Linked DNA regions of Danio rerio. The protein of the gene in region 3 purifies or fractionates together with the protein of the main gene of each other region. This does not show direct contact. Links are inferred from orthologs where the notes say so. Each region holds a gene or a part of one and is shown on either strand. Other genes may lie near its edges.

Region 1 (4,892 bases), on a different chromosome or scaffold from region 3:
AAATAAAACAAATAGGACTTTCCCAAGAAGAAAAAATATTTTCAGACATACTGTGAAAATTCCCTTGCTCTGTTAAACATAATTTGGGAAATATTTAAAAAAAAATAAAAAATTAAAAGGGGAGCTAATAATTCTGACCTCAACTGTATATCAACAATGCGGGTGTTTAGAGCCAAGTTGGTAAATCAGTCTGTTTGAATGGCCCTTGACAGAGCAATCTCACCCACTTAGCATGTGCATCTGCCGACCCGTCAGACACAGTATGACATCTATAGATTATTACAGACCACAGCAGTGATTGCGATCAATACTGTAAACAGACTAAGAGCAACTGTCACAAGGGAAGACATGACCTTCTGCTTCATGCACTGACCAATTTGAAGATTTCTCACTGCTTTGCTTCCATAAAATGTCATCTTTTAGGATTAGTGGAAAGAACAAACATTTAAGCGATTCTTTTATTATATTTGATCTATTTGCATCTGTAGATTTGAGTCACAGCGCACATCTTTATAAAGGTTGTTTTCTCCAGAGTTTCTGCAGGTTTCTTAAATTCAAATGTAAGACTTTTTAAGACCCTTTTAAGCCCATTACAACATAAATTTTAGACTTTTACAGGGCTAAACATTAGTAATTTTTTTTTAATAATGGCCCGGTTGGTTGCCACAAAAATAAATAAATAGATAAATGAATAATGTTATTATTTCTTAGTGCAATATTTAGTGTCAAAACAAGAAAACTTTTGTTGTATACACTTTTTTAAACTATAAGTTTTACATTGTTAAAAGTTAATTTGTTTAGACAGTGACATAAATAATCCAAAATATGCATTTGTTGAATTTTGGTCCAAATTGAGAATTTAATGAAGAGAAATTGCTGTAAAAAAAAAAAGTCAAACAGCTTGTAAATTGGATCTTTTTGCAAAAATAAAAAAAAATAAATAAATAAAAAAAAAAAAAAAAAAAATATATATATATATATATATATATATATATATATATATATATATATATATATATATATATATATATATATAAAAAATAAAAGTTTCATTGAGATGAATTGTTGATGGATGTCATTTCGATTGGGTAGCTTTACTTGGACAGATGAAAATTAAGACCTTTTTAAAATGATTTAAGATCTACAGCACAATATGTCAGTGAATTTAAGACTTTTTAGGGCCTAAAAGCTTGTTTTTGAAATTTAAGACCCCGCAGGAACCCTGTTCTCAAAATGGAAATATAATTTTTATTTTTTAGGCAGAAATTCAGTTCAGCAGCACAAACATGAAAATTCCACATAATTATTGACGAACTGCCTCACTGACCATATATTGTATGTTTTATTTGATTAAATTATTTAAGAGAACCATTATTTAAGACATTATTTTGCAGCATTCACTTCAAATATGAGAAATTTTGGAAATGTTCATCAGGGATGTATAATTGTAATGTTTGAAATGCGCTGTTTGACTGCTAACTTTAATTTTATGCCAAATAAGAATCACATTATATTTATGATAAAGAAAAAGCTTTCTTTTTAAAATTTATGTTCATTCATAAAGCAGAAAATTTAAACATTGCTGTAAACAAAAGATTGATTTTCATATTATATTATATTATATTATATTATGTCCAAGTATGAATTAAAGAGGAGAAAAAACATCCCTTTTTAAAAATGAATTACTTCCAATTCCTTGTTACATTATAACGGTTAATTTCACTACAGAGTAATTTTTTTTATTTTACTAAAAAAATGGAATTGTCTTTATTGACAGATTTTACAGAGACTAATTTAGTCCTCTTGCTGTTCCACCACTGTGCCCTTCTCGCTGACATAAATCCCATCCAGGAACTTTCAGATGTCTTTCTTTCTCACAGTGGTGGCCTGCTAGATCAGAGCAGTTGAGTTTGATACCAGCTACATGTAATTATCCTCCAAAACCAACTCATCTTTTTGAGTGGCAGACACTGCACACACAACTCCTTGCCTCATGCGGACATGGTGGATGCACTTCTCTCCCAAGAAGTTTCTGATCTCCATCAGTGAGCCAGACTCTTGGATGACCACATTAATGGGAAAATGGTCATATACAGATAGTATTTTGAAAGCCCAGGTTGACCCCCTTGATCATGTTCTGGACATGACTGCAGATGCTGCGGACTGTGGCCAACTCTTTTCTTTTAACCCACCACTTATCCACACGCAGCTTTTTTCTGTTTCTTGCCCAACAGACTGAGTTCCAGGTTAATGTGGTTGAACTACTGGTAGAGAACAGTACTGGGTCCCTAAATGGTAACTGTGCGGCCCTTGAGGGACAGCATGACATTGTCTGGGGTGTCCACTGTCTGCTTACTGAGAATGGTCTTCATTCTCGCAGATTGAGGGGGAAATCTCGCTGCTTAGTAAATGCTAAATACTTTTATGCACACTATTTTTTTCAAGGTGTTATTTACAAAGAGGGGTTTGTTCCTTTAACATTTAATAATATAACATTTTATTCTCCAACATATGGCGACATATTTACTTGCTGAATGCATGTTCTGAATTATACTGTAATGCAAATGTCAGTAAAGAATATATATACAATACAGCCTTAAATGCATTAACAAAATGAAACAAGAATATTGATCTGAGTTTTATGAAGTTATATTAAAATGTCTGCACACCTAACTAACCTGTAACACAAAACAGTTCTCTTGATGCACTGTGATAAGTTAACATGGGGAAATATATGGTTCTATACATAAAAACATGACATATTTTACCATGGAGTGACTCATTCCTGAGCTTACACTGTGCTAAAAACATTAATACCGTTCATGTATATTTAATTAATCAGTTGGGTCATTGTTATTTAATAGATCACGCGTTTATTAAAAAGATTTATGAATAAATTAATATACGAATTAAGAAAGTAAGGAAAAAGTCAGCTCCCCAAACAATACAGTCTTGCCACATGATCACAAACGTTCCTAGTAAAACCAACAGCATTTAGCAAATCAAGGCGAATGAAACAAATAAATGGGGAATGTTAATATTGATGGTGTGTAACATGTTGAATGATGTGTCACTCACACTTTATATGGTAACCGCGGGTCCGACGTCAGCGTGATTTTAAACGTTACTTTCGACCTGATGCATACAGAGAGTTTATTAACAGATTATAGACATTACATAACAAAAAATAATGTGCTGTTACAAGATAAACGTCTTTACTTACATTTTACAGGTTTGTATGAGAGATCCGCACACTGTTTACACTGACCCGGAAGACCCAGGGACCCGCTGTAACACGTCATCCGTTTGATGGACCTCTCTTTTCCGTTTTTCTTAATTTATCCTTTATTAATGGGCTAAAGCTATATTTAACGACTTGGATTATATTAATGTATTTTAGCAAAGTGTAAAAATATGAGATAATAAAAAATAATATAATGCGTTATGCGCATTTCACTCAGGCATATTTCAAGCGTCCCCAAGATGGACATACCGTAAAACATGTTGTTAATGCACCGGGGAATGAGTGTAAGCAATGAGAGCTGGAAAATAAAGAAAAGCAGAATTGCAAACACAGCAAGAAGTATTTGCACACCATAGACATTCTTTAAAATTATTATTAATTTTTTTTAAAGGGGTAGAGAGAACATAAGTAAAATGTTTTAAGGTGAAAGTGCGCTTGTATTACATATAAACGTTTACAAGTGAACTTTAGAAAGATAAAAATAGCCAAAACATTATATTGAATAGATTAGATATTTCATTACATGCGTTAGAATTATTAGAGGGAACCAAAGCTTAAATAAGTCCAAATAATGAACCATTACATAGATTAGAAATACTGGAAACTTAAATTTGTATTAAATGCAACTTCAGTTACTGCAAAATGCAGCTGCCAAAGTTCTTACCAGGCCTAGAAAATATTATATCACCCCAATTTTATTGTCCATTACACTGGCTGTCTGTTCCTTATCAGTTCAGCATTGATTATAAAATATTGCTTCTAACCGATAAAGCTTTTAATAATCTAGCTCCTGTTTATCTAAGCAATCTCGCTACAATCCAACCCATTCTATAAGAGCTCAAAGCTTCTGGAGGAGATTGAGCCTTCTCATTTGGCTACTAAACTCTGAAATAGCCTTCCTGATGATGTCCGAGGCTCAGACACACTCTCTTAGTTCAAAACTAGATTAAAGACCTATCTGTTTAGTAAAGCATACACACAATGCATCGCATAATGGTATGATGCATGAGTGTGTGACAACCACCTGTAGGACACACTCCTCTTGTTTTAATGCTCTACACATTCATTTTCTTGTCAGCTTAGTCCCTTTATTTATCTGGGGTCGCCACAGCAGAATGAACCACCAACTTATCTAGCACGTTTTTACGCAGCAGATGTCCTTCAAGCCACAACCCATCTCTGGGAAACATCCACAAACACTCATACACTACAGACAATTTAGCTTAACAATTCACCAAATCACCTGTACCACATGTCTTTGGACTGTGGAGGAAACCAGAGCACATATAGGAAACCCACACGAACGCAGAGAGAACATGCAAACTTTTCACAGAAACGCCAACTGAGCCGAGGATTGAACCAGCGACCTTCTTGCTGTGAGGCGACAGCAATACCTACTGTACCACTGCTTCGCCATGCACTAGACATCTTGTTATAAGCACCCATACTGTATGCTTAACATGTTTGTTTTCATGTTTGTTTATATAACTACTATTCTCATTTATAACACTCCATTTTTGCAGCTCGTTAATACACACTATGAAGACTGATTCCTGAAAGATAAAAGTGACAGACAAGTCTTCGCAAGATCCAGTGGGCCAGCCCGATTACCCGCTGGTGACCTACTCACACCTGCAGTTCTCCACGA
Region 2 (4,921 bases), on a different chromosome or scaffold from region 3:
TAACTTAGTCAGCAACACGTTTGTTTTTCTAGAATGAAGAACAAAGTGCGTATTTGTAACAAACTTGGATACAAATGTGAGGGGGACAAAAATGCAGGAGTGATTTTTTTTGGACAAGCGTTACCTGCTTCGTTTCCTTTGCATCTACACCGTTTTCTTTTACATCGACGCCTTATTTAACTTTTCTGTCTGTTTTTTTCCTCTCTCTGCCTTTCTAAAAAAATAGAGATTTTAATACACTTTCCTGCACTTAGTTAAACGAGTTATGCATGTAAAATGAAGCGCCTCGTTTTCTATTAGGCTATATATAGTTTTTTAAGGTTAAACTCTTAATTAACATACGGGTTTAGTTTGCACCGGGTATTTGAGTAGCCAGAAAAAAAGAAACAATTATCAATTCAACACTACAGTACAGTTAAGAATAAAGGCTAACAAACATCCCGCACAAACTAAATGTTTCTTTTGTCAGTTAACCCACACAGTTTAACCACACAGAGCTAACAAACAGCTAACCACGTTAAGCAAAATTATTTAAATTATGCCTTGGTATAAATAGAAAGTTTCATTTTTATTAGTCGTACAATATTATAAACTTAATAAAAGCATGTTTAACCGGAAGAAATGAAAAAAGAAAGAGCTCGCCAAAAATATTGGATGTCCTTGCGTTGCAAGCCATTTGATTCAATGTTTGTCGCCATGCTTTTCAGGTTAAAAACAAATAGGTGGATATGTTATTTAATTATTTATTTATCTTTGGACATAATGCTGTCTACACTTTTTATTATGCGAACTATAGGCTAGCATGAGCGTATGATGGTTTGTGTCTGTAGCCTTTTATTGAAGTTCCCATTGACTAGCTAATAATAAATAATAATAATAAATAAACTTAAAAGATACAGAAATAAAATTTTAAATGATTAGAATCTCCAAACTACATGAATGACCATGTGCTATTGAGAATTATAAGTACTTGAGTGCATTAATAAGGTTACCACCTAAAGTAGCCTAGGCTATGCAGTGATGCAGTCTTTAAACATTTTAAACACGATTGAGTAATTCAACCACGTCTACGTTGCCAGTCTGTTGTGCCACATCCACTGGTCGTAAATCGCAGTGATCTTTTGTATTGGGGTCGGCGCCGAAGCGGATTAAAAGCCGCACGGTGTCAATGAATCCGGTTCTGGCAGCGTCGTGCAGAGGTGTGCTCCCTGTGTCGGGGTCAGGCACATTAGGGTCCGCTCCCTGTTCCAGCAGCACAAGAGCCAAAGGTGCGTTACCCATCATCATCACCTGGAGAGGGGGAAAATTGCTGTCTCATGAAAAAATAAACGCCAGTAACGTCATGATGTCACTGTAAAGAAGTTTGTTTAATCAATAATTTTACTGCCATCACTCGAAATCTGGAAAGTAGATACTTTTTGGTTAAATAGGAACGAAAGCAGTGCACATGCTGGCACTGAACATTGCTGTGCATGATGCATTACTCTTTTAGCCTATCAATAAATTATTCACGGGCAGTAAATCAATTAAATGCAACAAATTGTGTTGTAGCTAATTCTTATTTTTCATATGATTAATTATGAAGATTCCTATAATCATTTTAAATAAAATGTATGCCATAAATATGCTTTGTTCACATTTGTGATTTTCTTAAACATCTTTCGTTTAATTGACATTTTTCTGAGGCAATTCATGCTCGTCAGAAGTTTTACAATTGCCTAATCTTTTACGATTTCTGGATGTATGCTGTCCATCTGTTTAAAGTGTGCTAAAAGATATCTATACGCACTTTATTGTAGGCTACCTCTTCGGCTTTTGATGTCCCGTAACCGAGAGCATGAACCGTAAAACCATTGGACATTGTGAAAATTAGATGAAAACTTTCACACCAAATATTATAATAATAGGCCTACACGATTATAAAAACAAGCAAAAATAAGTATGGTCTAAAATATATACTCCATTAGTCTATGACTGTGCTAGTGGTGGCTGATTATTTTGGTCAATATAGGCCAACTGTACAAATGTCAAAATATTAAACGTACATTCGTAAAAACAAGCATGGCAATAAGAGGAAAAGGGTTTTCGCAGTGATGCCCTTCTGGTTCCGCACAGAAAACCTATTACAAAGCTTCCAAAAGAAGTATTTTTATTGTCAAAAAATGAAATAAACATTTTAATAGTTTAAAGGCACATTTTTCAAAAATTTTCTCCATAGATGCAAAAGGTTCTTCTTAAAACCATCGATGCCAACAAAGCTTTCGGGAGTGAATTAGCAAGTAGTGTGCCATTCTTCTCGCACATAGAGATATGATTTAATAGTTTAAAATTTATCTGAAATTAAGATCTATAAAATGTCTTATTTATTTATTGTTATGTATATAAATCTATCTATCTATCTCTTATATATAATTGTAAACATTTGGTTTTTATACACAGTTATAGTACATTGGGACTTTCGTTTTCAATAAGATTTTAGTTTTCTTTGAATAATTTGAACTTTGACAATACATCCAAAACTCCTTGTCTTATTTCGGACTAATTTCTAAGAATGTAGCTATAAGTTAAAATTATAATGTTAAAATTAATGACATTACTAAAAGATAGAAAGTGTTGTTAGTATTATATAGGTTGATAACACGCTATTGGTAAACATGTTTCAGGCCGTTTAAGTAGCCTAAAAGGTTCTTAAACATGCTAAAATGAGTAAAATAAATACACAAATAGCCTAATATTTAAAAAAAAAAAAGAAAAGTAAATCCCATATAGTCAAACAGGTGTGAAAATATGAAATAGCCTAAATTTGTTAAATAATATGACCTTTAATACAAAATAAGTCTTTGAATTGTATGTTACTAATTTAATGTTACATATCTGCAATTAATCTTATTTATTTATTTGCATTTGTTTATTTCCGTTGTTTATTCTTAAAGCGCGTCTAAACCTACCTGTATAGGCGTTCTTCTAAATTTGTTAACCACATTGGCATTCACTCCGTTAGAAAGTAAAAACTGAACATGGGAAATGTTTCCGGTGGCTGCTGCTGTGGTCAGTTCATCCTCGACGTTCATCATCTTTATTGATTTTCGAAATTAATTCGCTTCACAGGTAAAACCAAATGATGATGATACTGCGAAAACAATCAGTTCAACGCTGTAATTTATTTTTATCGGTCTCCATGAATAACATGTTCCAATATAATGCGTAAATAAGCGAAACTGACTCGTTTATCAAAGTGTTGTGTCTTAAAATAATTTTTCGTAGCGAGATATTTGTTCGGACTTGTCTCTGTCATAAACGTCACAGCAAAACCGTGGTGCAGTACTGTCATACTGCGCCTGCGCACAACAGCTGAGTCAGGAAGACATGAGTTTACGACACAGTAGGAGAGGCTGCAGAGAAACAGAAATTAGGTTCTGCTAATGTTTTATGGCTAATGTAACTGGCATTAGCCTGCTTTTAGATCACAAGAAGTTTTTTTATTCTTTTTTTCGGGTACATAAGCATATCACAACGCTAATTATGCTAACATAATTGGGTTTTGTGCCATGGAGAAGTTACTCTTCGGGAATAGGCTAACGTTACCAGGAAAAATCTCTCGTTTTTCAAGAGTAAAGTTATTTTATGGATTTTGATTAAGACGCGATGTTAGCTAGGCCTGTAGAGATTAAGTTTGACTTGGCTACTTTAAAGTATATTATTTAGCCATTATGCTGTGTGGGGCGCTTAAGTTAAACTATATTTTTGATCCACATAAATTATAACAAAAAAGCATATACATACATTCGTGGTAGCCTATATTTATATTTTTTTCATAATGGTTGTTCTGTTTTTGATTGTAGATGAACATAAATCTATTTTCTGCACGATAGAAAGGACGCGAATGGCCATAATTTTGCCCAAACATCGTCTGACTTACAGTTTTGTAATGCTATTTCCCCATCACACGACTGTAGCTAAACTATAGCCTGTATCCAGAAACAAGGTATTAAACAATTGTAGCAAATAGTTTTTAATTTTAGCAGTGAGTTTGTTGCCTCTCTAATACGTTGAAAATAAGTAAAAAGATAAAGGGTCCTGTGGCTGTGTAGATCATTTACATAAAGTAAAAATCACATTCTGAGATGCACCTGTTTAAAATGAAGAACAGTGTGCTTTTGTATTTAATTTTCTAACTTATTCATGTTTTGATGTTGTTAACATGTTAATAATATTGGTTAATGTGCATGCAAAATAGATACTAAAATATGAAATAGTAAATAAAATAATCATAACAAACCAACGCAGTACAATATTAAAGAAAAAAAATAGTTGGCAAAGCCCCACTGGCTAAGTGTTAATAATAGAAAATTTAATTTAAATGTCATAGAAGCAACGATTAAAAATGAATTATTTTACTTAGTTTTGTTGAATAGATATTAAACAACATGTAGAAATAGAATAGTTGAACTATGTAACTAAAAGATATCCTGCACAAAGTTTACTTCACAACTCCAGTAAATAGGCATGAGCATTTTAATATTTAATACCACAGTTGAAATTCCTACATTAAAAGGGGGAAAAAAGAAGTTTTGATTTGATTTATTTATTTTGGATCAAAAATATACATAAAATATCATAAAAAAATAAAATAAAATAAAAAACATTTTCGAAAATGGACTGGGATGAAGCACAAGCCTATTATTTTCCCACCCCGTTACCACATACTTCATTCGTCTATTACTTAAACCTATTTCTTCTTTCACTCATCTCTTTTTTTTACATGAGACATATTTTATCCTTTTGGCATCTTTGACATGTTTAAATCCATTTGTACCTTTACATTTTGTAACATAGACCTAAAAAAAAAACAAAAAAAAAACATAGTACTGCAAATAGCCATTAATTAAAGTTTCATCATACCATTTTCAATCACCTTCAT
Region 3 (4,829 bases):
TGTGATGCTGAAACGATATCGATGTTGAAACGATGCTGAATATCGATGCTGAAACGATATATTGCAGCCCTATTTTAGACAATGCAATATTTTGCACAATAGACTTAAATGTCTTCCAAGTTCTGATTACATATATGCCTAGTTTTAACTGATTCTACTAATTTACTAAATTGAAAATCAATTAAATACTATTCTTTGGGATTTATTAATTTATAATAACAGATTTATTTTATTATCAAGGACAGAAACTCAAAATTATTTTCATGTAAACATGCACTACGGTTAGCAATTTGTAATATTTTAAAAGGTTTTTGAAACTTTTTTCTCTAATTCACAGTATTTCAAAAACTATGAAAGCAATAGTAGTGTAATATAATTTCAATTCAAAGTAAAAAAAAAATCATACATTTTGATATGTAATGCCAAAGCTGAATTCTTTCATTATTAATTTGCTGCTCAATGAACAAACTTTAAACACCCAAGGAAACTTACAGTCTGTGCCCACATCCACAACTTCAATTTCCAATGGGGCAGATTCAGAGTCTCCCCAGTTAATACCACCACCACTTGTTTCCTAAAGTAGATTGGAAGACCCTTTTAATTCTATGTCTTGAGGGGTCTGAATATATCTGTAGTAAATATTTAGGGTGCTTACCTCAGTACCAGACTCAAGACCGATACCCCAATCCACACCATCCTCAACAGAAATCCCAAAATTTACCTCTTCACTACCAGTACCAGCACCGCTGCCAAGATCACCCCAGTCAATCTGCAAGAACCAAGAAAAACAGTGAGATTCTGGAGGGAGAGACAATACTGATCCTTTGTTTAAGTCCTATGTAAAAAAAAAAAAAAAAAACTTAAAATCTTGAATAGTGACTTACCGTCTCCTCTGTAACAACATCTGGGGGTGCTTCCTCCATTACAGGTCTCTCTACAACTTTAGGCACATTTCCAGTCTTTCTCTCATATACAGTTGTGTTTCCTTTCTTCTGGACAAACCTCAGTAAGGGCAGTACTTCCTCCGACCTGAAAAAGCAAGTAAACTATGACAAACATTTCACAATATCGATTAAAAGAATCAGGTGCAACATTAGAAATGAAAGTAACACTTGCCAGTCGCTGACAAACTTAGTGAATGCTGTGTAAAACTCTATGGCATCTTTCAGACAGGCAGCTTTTTTTCCAGTTTCTTCTAAAACCACAGGCAGATCTTTAACCTGTGCTTGCAACTCCCTTGCCACGTTTTCCCCCTGTGAAACACAAATGTTATTTGTTAGTATGTGTAAAAGCCATTATGTTACAATAAATGACAATCATAGCTCACTTTTATGCCGTACTGTTTACAGGCAGCATAATAGCGTTCTCTCATGTCGGCAGAACCGCTCTGACACTCCAGCTCACGTCGGCTCAGCTCCTGCTGCAGCTGTTGAGCTTTAGACACCTGCTTCCTTAAAGCTGGCCCTTCATAACTTACATTACGAACCAAAATACTGGCCATTTCAGCTGGAATTAAAAACACACATGCATACTATCATCTCACTTTGATTGTGTAGTCTAAAATTTAAAAAAATTTGGTGATGGTGATTTGATGATTGCTTACCCAAATAGACATTGTCTTTTTCATACATGGACACTATCTCTTGCCAGTCCTGTTGATGAAGTATATTACAGTTAATTAAATATATGTAAATATTCAATTCAATTCATGTTTATTTATATAGTGGTTTTACAATGTAGATTGTGTCAAAGCAGCTTAAGATAGAAGTTTAGTAAAGTTCAGACTTCAGAGTTGATAAATATACATGAATGGAAACATTAAGGGCCACTTAAACATTCTTTGCTTCTCTGGAGTTTTGCCATTTTTAGTTATGGGTTTGAGTAAACTGACAGCATTTCTTCTAAATAGTACAAAGAGAAAAAAACACAACATAGAAATACTTATTCCTTAACTCTGCTGAATTTAAAATATCGCTATTATGGTATAAAAGCTATTAGTAGTTTACAGAATAAAATGAAAATTAGGTTTTTCCCCAGTCATACAACTTTAAATTGTAAATCCAGAGACACTGAGAATTTTTAAGCGGTCTCATGTTTTTATTTTCCATAGTATATGTGATAGAAAGTAAGGATATTTTATTAGCAATAATAAGTATGTAGACTATGTACAATTTTAAGTGTAATAAACTGCACATTAAAATGCAAATAAACAGCACCTTCATCCTTTGTGATGAATATCTGCCAAAAATATTTTTGGTGGACGCTTCCGTTCCTTTTAATACTTCGATTATTTGTAAGCAATGGAAATGGTGAATATCTGCAACAAAATTCAGTATGAGTACATCCAAAATTAAATAAAATACAAATAACAGGAATATATAACTTTTTCTTTACATGAGCCGGAGAGCAGCTGTTTGATCTCTTCGTTTTCTGGCATATCCTGAATGGCAGCGTTAATTTTCTCTCTGATGGTCATAACTGCACTTTGCCATTTCAGTGTGCAGTGTCTTCGGTCCACCAACCAGTCTAAAATATAGAGGAGAGGAAGAGGAAAAAGTAGAAGAAGAGGAATAAGACATTACATCTGTGCAAGATCTAAGCTGTTGTTTATTCAAGCTGAGCCACATTTAGCTAACAATATAGCTACAAATCGCATGATAATAAGTCTAAGTTAAACCTGCACAAATGAGTATAAAGCAGTCTCACCCAAGAGTTTACTGGTTTGGATGTCAATAGGGAGATTCTGGATGTTCTGTTAAACGAGATTTTTAATAATAAATGTACATTATACATGCTAACAACAGTCACATCAACTTTTCACACATTATTATGGAATTATTGAAAAAGTGTATGTTTATTAATAAAATAACAGTCATCCAGTTATGACAGCTTGTCAGAGTCTTTAAACATGATGAGTTTTCTTTACCCAAAGAGTACGAAGTCTGATAAAAAAAAATGACTTAATTTATAATGATATTAATAATGTTATTGTTTTACCTCCATTGCAAACGTTGCTGTCGTTATTTTGTTAAAAGAATTACTAAAACGACCCCATGCTTGTACAGCAATTCGACAGGATTCAGCACAAGTTTACATTTCCACTGACACGTACATCCACATCTGGCCAATCAACGGACATGACACTAATGCGTCAAACGATCCTTGTGCTGAAACACCAATAAACTGCAAGGATAGAAGAACCTGTATTTACTTCCTTGTAACGCCAAAATAAAAGTCAACACCAACTGTTTTTTTCTTCACATTTTATTCGCCCTTTTAAAGGCTCGTTTTGTAGTTTAAAGGGTTTGTTTCTTTTTACATTAACAGAAATATTTGTTATCAAATTCATAAAATATGAATAAACAAGATTGTTTTGCGAGGTCTCCGACCTTTGTTGGAGAAACATTGATGTAGATTGATTAAAAATAAATAAATAAATAAATAAATAAATAAATACATAAATAAATAAATAAATAAATAAATAAATAATAAACACAAATATATTTGCGACATTAAAAATAGATGTACTTATAGACAATTTACAAATTTGGTAAAAAGAGAATGGCTAATTAATTGTATTTTAAACACGAATTATCAGGGTTTAAATTGAACACTCGTCAAACGAGCATATTCAAACTCACTATAGCCCATAACTCATCTCAAATTGCTACAAAAACTCAAAACTATTAAGTTATAATTTACATATGAATAGCCTACTCTCCAGTCTCCAATCAAATGCTTTCATCGTTAGCATAACAAAAACATAACATAAAAATTAAGTAACCCAAATAAATACATTTTAATCCCCGAATTTCACTTTTATTCGCAGTAGCCTGCCTGAAATAAATGTTATTTTTTAATATAGGCTATTATCAGAGACAGCTAAGTAGAATTGTCCACAAGATGGCGCAACTTCTTTTTTTATTAGCTTGACACAAAATATAAGTAGGCATTTTATTTCATATAGACCTGCCAATGGACAGTAAATATCAATGAATAGCATCATTTTATCGTACTTTTGTGCTTATTTCTGCTTGCACAATTTATAATGTACACTTTATGTGTATGTACATTTATGTTAAACAGCCAGCTCTTACTCGGTTATATTTGAACAAGGTGGTTTTATAGATTTTTCTGTTTGCCAGTTCACAGCAAATCTTATCTCTATTATGTGTCTGCCTTGATGGCAAGCTGTTTTAACACTCAATTTATAAACCTACAGACATCATTTCAGGCCTACTTATTTTTTTTAAAACTAGGCTGACAAGCATCTTAACATTATTGTAAGTATAGGTATTACTTCTTGTTATTCATAACAAACTACTTTTCCATTACATGCATATTCATTACACGTAAATATTAAATAAGCGTCTGCAGACAGATAGTATTTTTCATTAGTAACATATTCATACTAATACATAGTAATTACCAGTACTTATTCATTTACACACTTATTTCACTAGGAGCTGGTAATGTTTTGCAATAAAAGTTTATATAAAGACTTCTGTCAATTTTTTTAAACATAAATAGTTTATTGATTAATAGTTTATTAATTTGTCCATATTTGACACAAAATTGGATAATAAAAAACCCTGCATTTTGACGCCCCAATAAACATTCCATAAATAGTAGTGTTTATCAGACGCTGGTTCGGTACAACATATTTATTAGACAACATTATATTTTGTAATCATTACTAACAGGGCTTGACATAAATTTTTTTGATCACCAGCCATCATGGCTGGTAGTTTTCCAACATTATAGCCACATGCCATTTTCACTACCTGCAATTCTGTTATTGGGAAAATATAGTTTATATGCATGAAATT
Region 4 (4,259 bases), on a different chromosome or scaffold from region 3:
CTCAACTGGATTCAGGTCAGGACTTTGAGTAGGCCACTCCAAAGTCTTCATTTTACTTTTCTTCAGCCATTAAAAAGTGGACTTGCTGGTGTGCTTTGGATCATTGTCCTACTGCTGAACCCAAATTTGCTTCAGCCTGAGGTCACTAACAAATGGCCAGAAATTGTCCTTCAGGATATTTCTGTACACAGCAGAATTCATGGTTCCATTTATCACAGCAAGTCTTTCAGGTCCTGAAGCAGCAAAACCGCCACAGACCATCACTCTACCACAACCACATTTTACTCTTGGTATGATGTTCTTTTTCTGAAATGCAGTGCTACTTTTATGCCACACATAATAGGACACAAACCGTTCAAAAGTTTTGTCTCATCAGTCCACAAAATATTTTCCCCAAAGTGTTTCCCAAAACTGAGACGAACCTTTGTGTTCTTTTTGCTCAGCAGTGGTTTTTGTCTTGAAACTCTGCCATGCAAACACTTTTTGCCCAGTCTCTTTCTTATGGTAGAGTCATGAACACTCACCTTAACTGAGGCAAGTGAGGCCTGCAGTTCTTTGGATTCTTCTTTTCTAACCTTTTGGAAGAGATGTCGCAGGTCATTTTGGTGGCCGACCACTCCTGGGAAAATTCTATACTGTCCTACGTTTTTGCCATTAGTAGATAATAGCTCTCACTGTGGTTTGCTATAGTCCCAAATCTTTCTAGATCTCAATATTTTTTTCTTAACTTGTTTTTGAGTTTTCTTTAGATCTCTGCATGATGTCTAATTTTTGAGGATCTTTTGGTCTACATCACTTTGTCAGGCAGGTCCTATTTTAGGTGATTTCTTGACTTCGAACAGGTGTAGCCATAATCAAGCCTAAAAATTGAACTCAGGTGTAATAAACCAGAGTTAAGTTATGTTTAAACAGGTGAGGGTTGTGTGTGTGTGTGTGGGGGGGGGGTGTAATAGTGGAAACACTTTTAAACATAGGGCTAAGTAGTTTTTTATTTTGTTTTCCCTTAATAAAAAAGCCTTTATTTAAAAACTAAAAACTGCATGAAGTGTTTATTTGTGTTTTCTTTGACTTAATTTTGACTAAATTTGTTGGATGATCAGAACTTTTAAAGTGTGAGAACATGCAAAAAAATAAGTGAGGTGGCAAAAGCTTTTGGTTATTAAATCAAAGAGAAAGATGGTGGACTAAAGGAGTGCATGACTAAGCGCTATCTGCAGTCAGGTTCTCTTACCGTGGCCTCATTACAGACGGTGCACTTCACCACATGCTGATGGAGTTTGCCATCCAGAGTTATAAGAGATTGGCACACTCGACAGTTGATGACTGGCACTCCTCCTGCATCTGGACTGGCAATGGCTGTGTAGGGCGGAGGTAATTCAGCTGCAGATGAAGACAAAAAACAAAATACAGTCTTTCAGCTGACCTGTCACAATAATAGATCAATTGTCTGATAGTAGTTATTTGCTGTGCAGTATAGGTTTCACATATGATAGGTTTGAGCACATAAACAAAAGACAAGCAATGATTTATGTGCATAATGCTCAGAAACATTTACTGGTTTTATGTTAAAGACCCTTAATCTTTCACACACAGTTAATGATAAAACAAGGACACACTTATTTATATGACCATCAACTGGTGAGTATCTTCCTTGAGCAAAAACATTTTTACATAGAATTACAGAAATCTCTAATTTGCTCTGAAAACATCATGTATCATGTAAGTTAGAATAAAATATAACAGTGCAAAAAATTAATAACAACAAATCTCCTTTTAAAATCATTTGTTTAATAATCAATCGTTAGGACAAAATTGATGAACATTCATGGTCACATGACATTGACAATTATTTAAAACAACAAAATTCCCTACAGAATGCAAAAGTCAGGTTATGAACATAATAGTAAAAAAATAATTAGAAATTGTAGTTTTTAACAATAACCGAAAAACTTTAAAGACATGCAGAGGTTGTTAATCGACTGTATATGTTCACATGAATTCAACTTATTTTAAAGCAATCTCTCATTTTGTGCACTTTGCTTGCTGTAACTTTCTGACTAAGAAAAGTTTTTGAGGAATCATATATGGTTATTGACAGTGATTACAATCAAATAAAAAAGTCATTTAAAGTTCAAAGATCTAATAACCCCCAGGCCTAGTTTGACAGGTCTTGTAAGACTCCAGATTTTTTCCCGGTGAGTATGCAGGGTTTTCCTATCAGTGCTCTATAAAGAAATAATAGTAGAATTTATTAACATGATGTAGTGTACAACATGGTGTATTTTTTTCTGCTCAAATTTGCATATTAACTTTGACAATTTCTACCAATCAGAGAGGTGCAGGTAGCAAAGTGCATTGCAAACTCAGCTCCACCCACTCCCATGAAGCATGCTTGAAACATGATGGATACAACCAACGACTTTAAATGAACAATTGTATAGTTCTCCAATCATTTTAAATTGTAACATTTGCATAACTTCATGGGATTGTAGTTCTTTGCCTCTATTAGGTTGTCAAGTCTTGTACTTTTGTTTTTATCATGTTTTTATATGTTTCTTTGCTTCAAATGAAATTCATAATGTTGTGATTCACCATACAGTTGGTTGGTTTGGTTTGTGGCTCATAACACTTTAATCATAACACTTTAATCAAAAGATCTAAGATAAAAAACAATGGGAAAAATATTTTCAAATCCAGTACTACTGAAAAAGTTACAAAATCAAGTACATTTTCTCATGTTCGAGATGTTGTCACTGGGATTTACTTCACAACAGTGAAAAACAAACTATTATTGTGTCTATGTAATGTTGACTTTAAAATATTTTTTTACTTTAATAATACTACTGCATAAATAAATCAGCTACACTCTATGAAATAACTTATGACATCTGTTATCATGGGCCCCACCTGTAATTATTTATGATCATAGATTTTTACTGGGGCACATGCCCTATATCCAACCACATTGGCTAGCCCGCGTGGGGCCCACCTGTAATTGTTTATGATAATACTTTACATTTAAGTACAGCAGATTTCTTTGAACTTTTTAAGAACAGTGCTATTTTTAATTAACTTTTAAAATCACATTTTTATTTATCACATATTTATTATGTATTTATTATGTTTAAAGTGGCTGACAATAATAAATATTCATAATAATAATAATCAATCTGCCACATTTGTGAACTGTGCAGTAGCCGCTTAATTAGGCTTACTATGTATTTCAATACCAGTCATTATGGTGGTACTTGAAGAGACAAGTTTTCCTGAGGTGGTACTTGGTGAAAAAAGTTTGAGAACTACTGGTCTAAACAATATTTTTTTAGAGTGGAGTTCAATCCATAAACCCACACTTTGTATCATTATCTGCTTATTGTCTGCATAAAAGACCCTATCCATGTGTGACTTTTTTAACTTTATAGAAGTAAAGTATAAACTGGCTTGAGTAGTGCAAGTATTGGATTGTTAACGTACATTCAGCTGGCCATTATTGCAAAATAACCCCAGACAGGGTGACTGGGTTTTGTTTAAGAGGCTAATTTTGCCATGATGACCAGCTCAGTTCTATTATTCCATGTATTATTCCTCTATTGCATGGCTATTTATCAAATACATAATTGAAAGAGCATGAAATATTGATTTGAGTTTAAATAACTCAATTATGTGAGAAGAAAGAAACCACAGAGGAATAATAGAGACATGAAAGAAGAGCAGTTCACAAGAATTTAGCGGTCATTACACAAAAATCTTTGACTTTGAATGCCACAATTGACCAATAAGCCATATAAAAACCAAGGAGAATCCTTTTTCTCAATCACAGAGCCATAAAAATGAATCAAAGTCATCTAGACATCTAGCGTTTTGTCTTTTAGGCCAATGCCAAGACAAAATATATGTAACGTTTCTATTATATATGTGTCTTCTTGCTGGCAATCCTCATCCAAATAAATGCAGATTCACTGTGTTCAACAATAAGTGCAGCCTATTCACACTTTCATCTACAGTACAGTATCTGGGCCTTTAGCCAATCCCTGCACTCAGTCTACTCGCGCCTTCAGAATTACTCAAATCCAGAGCTCAGTCACAACAGAGCTCAGCCTGCTGCTTATGCTCATTGAAATTGAAACATGTTCCTCCTACTGACCGTCACTTCATATTTTGTGCGATCACGTTGGTGACAGTCATACGGCAGCCATATTGAACATGTGACACCACAGCAAAAGCAACCGACAGCAGCTCTAGCCTCATGACCTCACTCA

The links.
Region 1: the proteins of cdk5rap3 (region 3) and ufm1 purify together in Homo sapiens (co-immunoprecipitation; 3 studies listed by BioGRID and IntAct, with this or other methods). This does not show direct contact. The link is inferred for Danio rerio from reciprocal best matches to the Homo sapiens genes CDK5RAP3 and UFM1.
Region 2: the proteins of cdk5rap3 (region 3) and cdkn2a/b purify together in Homo sapiens (affinity purification with western blotting; 3 studies listed by BioGRID). This does not show direct contact. The link is inferred for Danio rerio from reciprocal best matches to the Homo sapiens genes CDK5RAP3 and CDKN2A.
Region 4: the proteins of cdk5rap3 (region 3) and pip4p2 purify together in Homo sapiens (affinity purification with mass spectrometry; 3 studies listed by BioGRID and IntAct, counting the BioPlex papers as one, with this or other methods). This does not show direct contact. The link is inferred for Danio rerio from reciprocal best matches to the Homo sapiens genes CDK5RAP3 and PIP4P2.

What each region holds. Positions count from the first base shown.
Region 1 is NC_133185.1:30,887,784-30,892,675, reverse strand, and holds the start of ufm1 (ubiquitin-fold modifier 1), read right to left. Parts: upstream 3,257-4,892; 5' UTR 3,226-3,256; coding exon 3,224-3,225; intron 3,136-3,223; coding exon 3,079-3,135; intron 2,384-3,078; exon of another isoform or gene 2,373-2,383; coding exon of another isoform or gene 2,220-2,372; intron 2,219-2,219; coding exon of another isoform or gene 2,109-2,218; intron 2,108-2,108; coding exon of another isoform or gene 1,795-2,107; exon of another isoform or gene 1,758-1,794; intron 1-1,757. UniProt on the Homo sapiens protein: Ubiquitin-like modifier which can be covalently attached via an isopeptide bond to lysine residues of substrate proteins as a monomer or a lysine-linked polymer.
Region 2 is NC_133176.1:27,775,579-27,780,499, forward strand, and holds the start of cdkn2a/b (cyclin-dependent kinase inhibitor 2A), read right to left. Parts: upstream 3,337-4,921; 5' UTR 3,075-3,336; coding exon 2,949-3,074; intron 1,291-2,948; coding exon 1,039-1,290; 3' UTR 1-1,038. UniProt on the Homo sapiens protein: Acts as a negative regulator of the proliferation of normal cells by interacting strongly with CDK4 and CDK6. This inhibits their ability to interact with cyclins D and to phosphorylate the retinoblastoma protein.
Region 3 is NC_133187.1:30,656,458-30,661,286, reverse strand, and holds the start of cdk5rap3 (CDK5 regulatory subunit-associated protein 3), read right to left. Parts: upstream 3,103-4,829; 5' UTR 3,004-3,102; coding exon 2,998-3,003; intron 2,753-2,997; coding exon 2,707-2,752; intron 2,527-2,706; coding exon 2,395-2,526; intron 2,318-2,394; coding exon 2,217-2,317; intron 1,653-2,216; coding exon 1,604-1,652; intron 1,507-1,603; coding exon 1,328-1,506; intron 1,254-1,327; coding exon 1,117-1,253; intron 1,030-1,116; coding exon 885-1,029; intron 770-884; coding exon 656-769; intron 575-655; coding exon 493-574; intron 1-492. UniProt on the Homo sapiens protein: Substrate adapter of E3 ligase complexes mediating ufmylation, the covalent attachment of the ubiquitin-like modifier UFM1 to substrate proteins, and which is involved in various processes, such as ribosome recycling and reticulophagy (also called ER-phagy).
Region 4 is NC_133194.1:33,869,925-33,874,183, reverse strand, and holds part of pip4p2 (type 2 phosphatidylinositol 4,5-bisphosphate 4-phosphatase), read right to left. Parts: intron 1,381-4,259; coding exon 1,232-1,380; intron 1-1,231. UniProt on the Homo sapiens protein: Catalyzes the hydrolysis of phosphatidylinositol-4,5-bisphosphate (PtdIns-4,5-P2) to phosphatidylinositol-4-phosphate (PtdIns-4-P).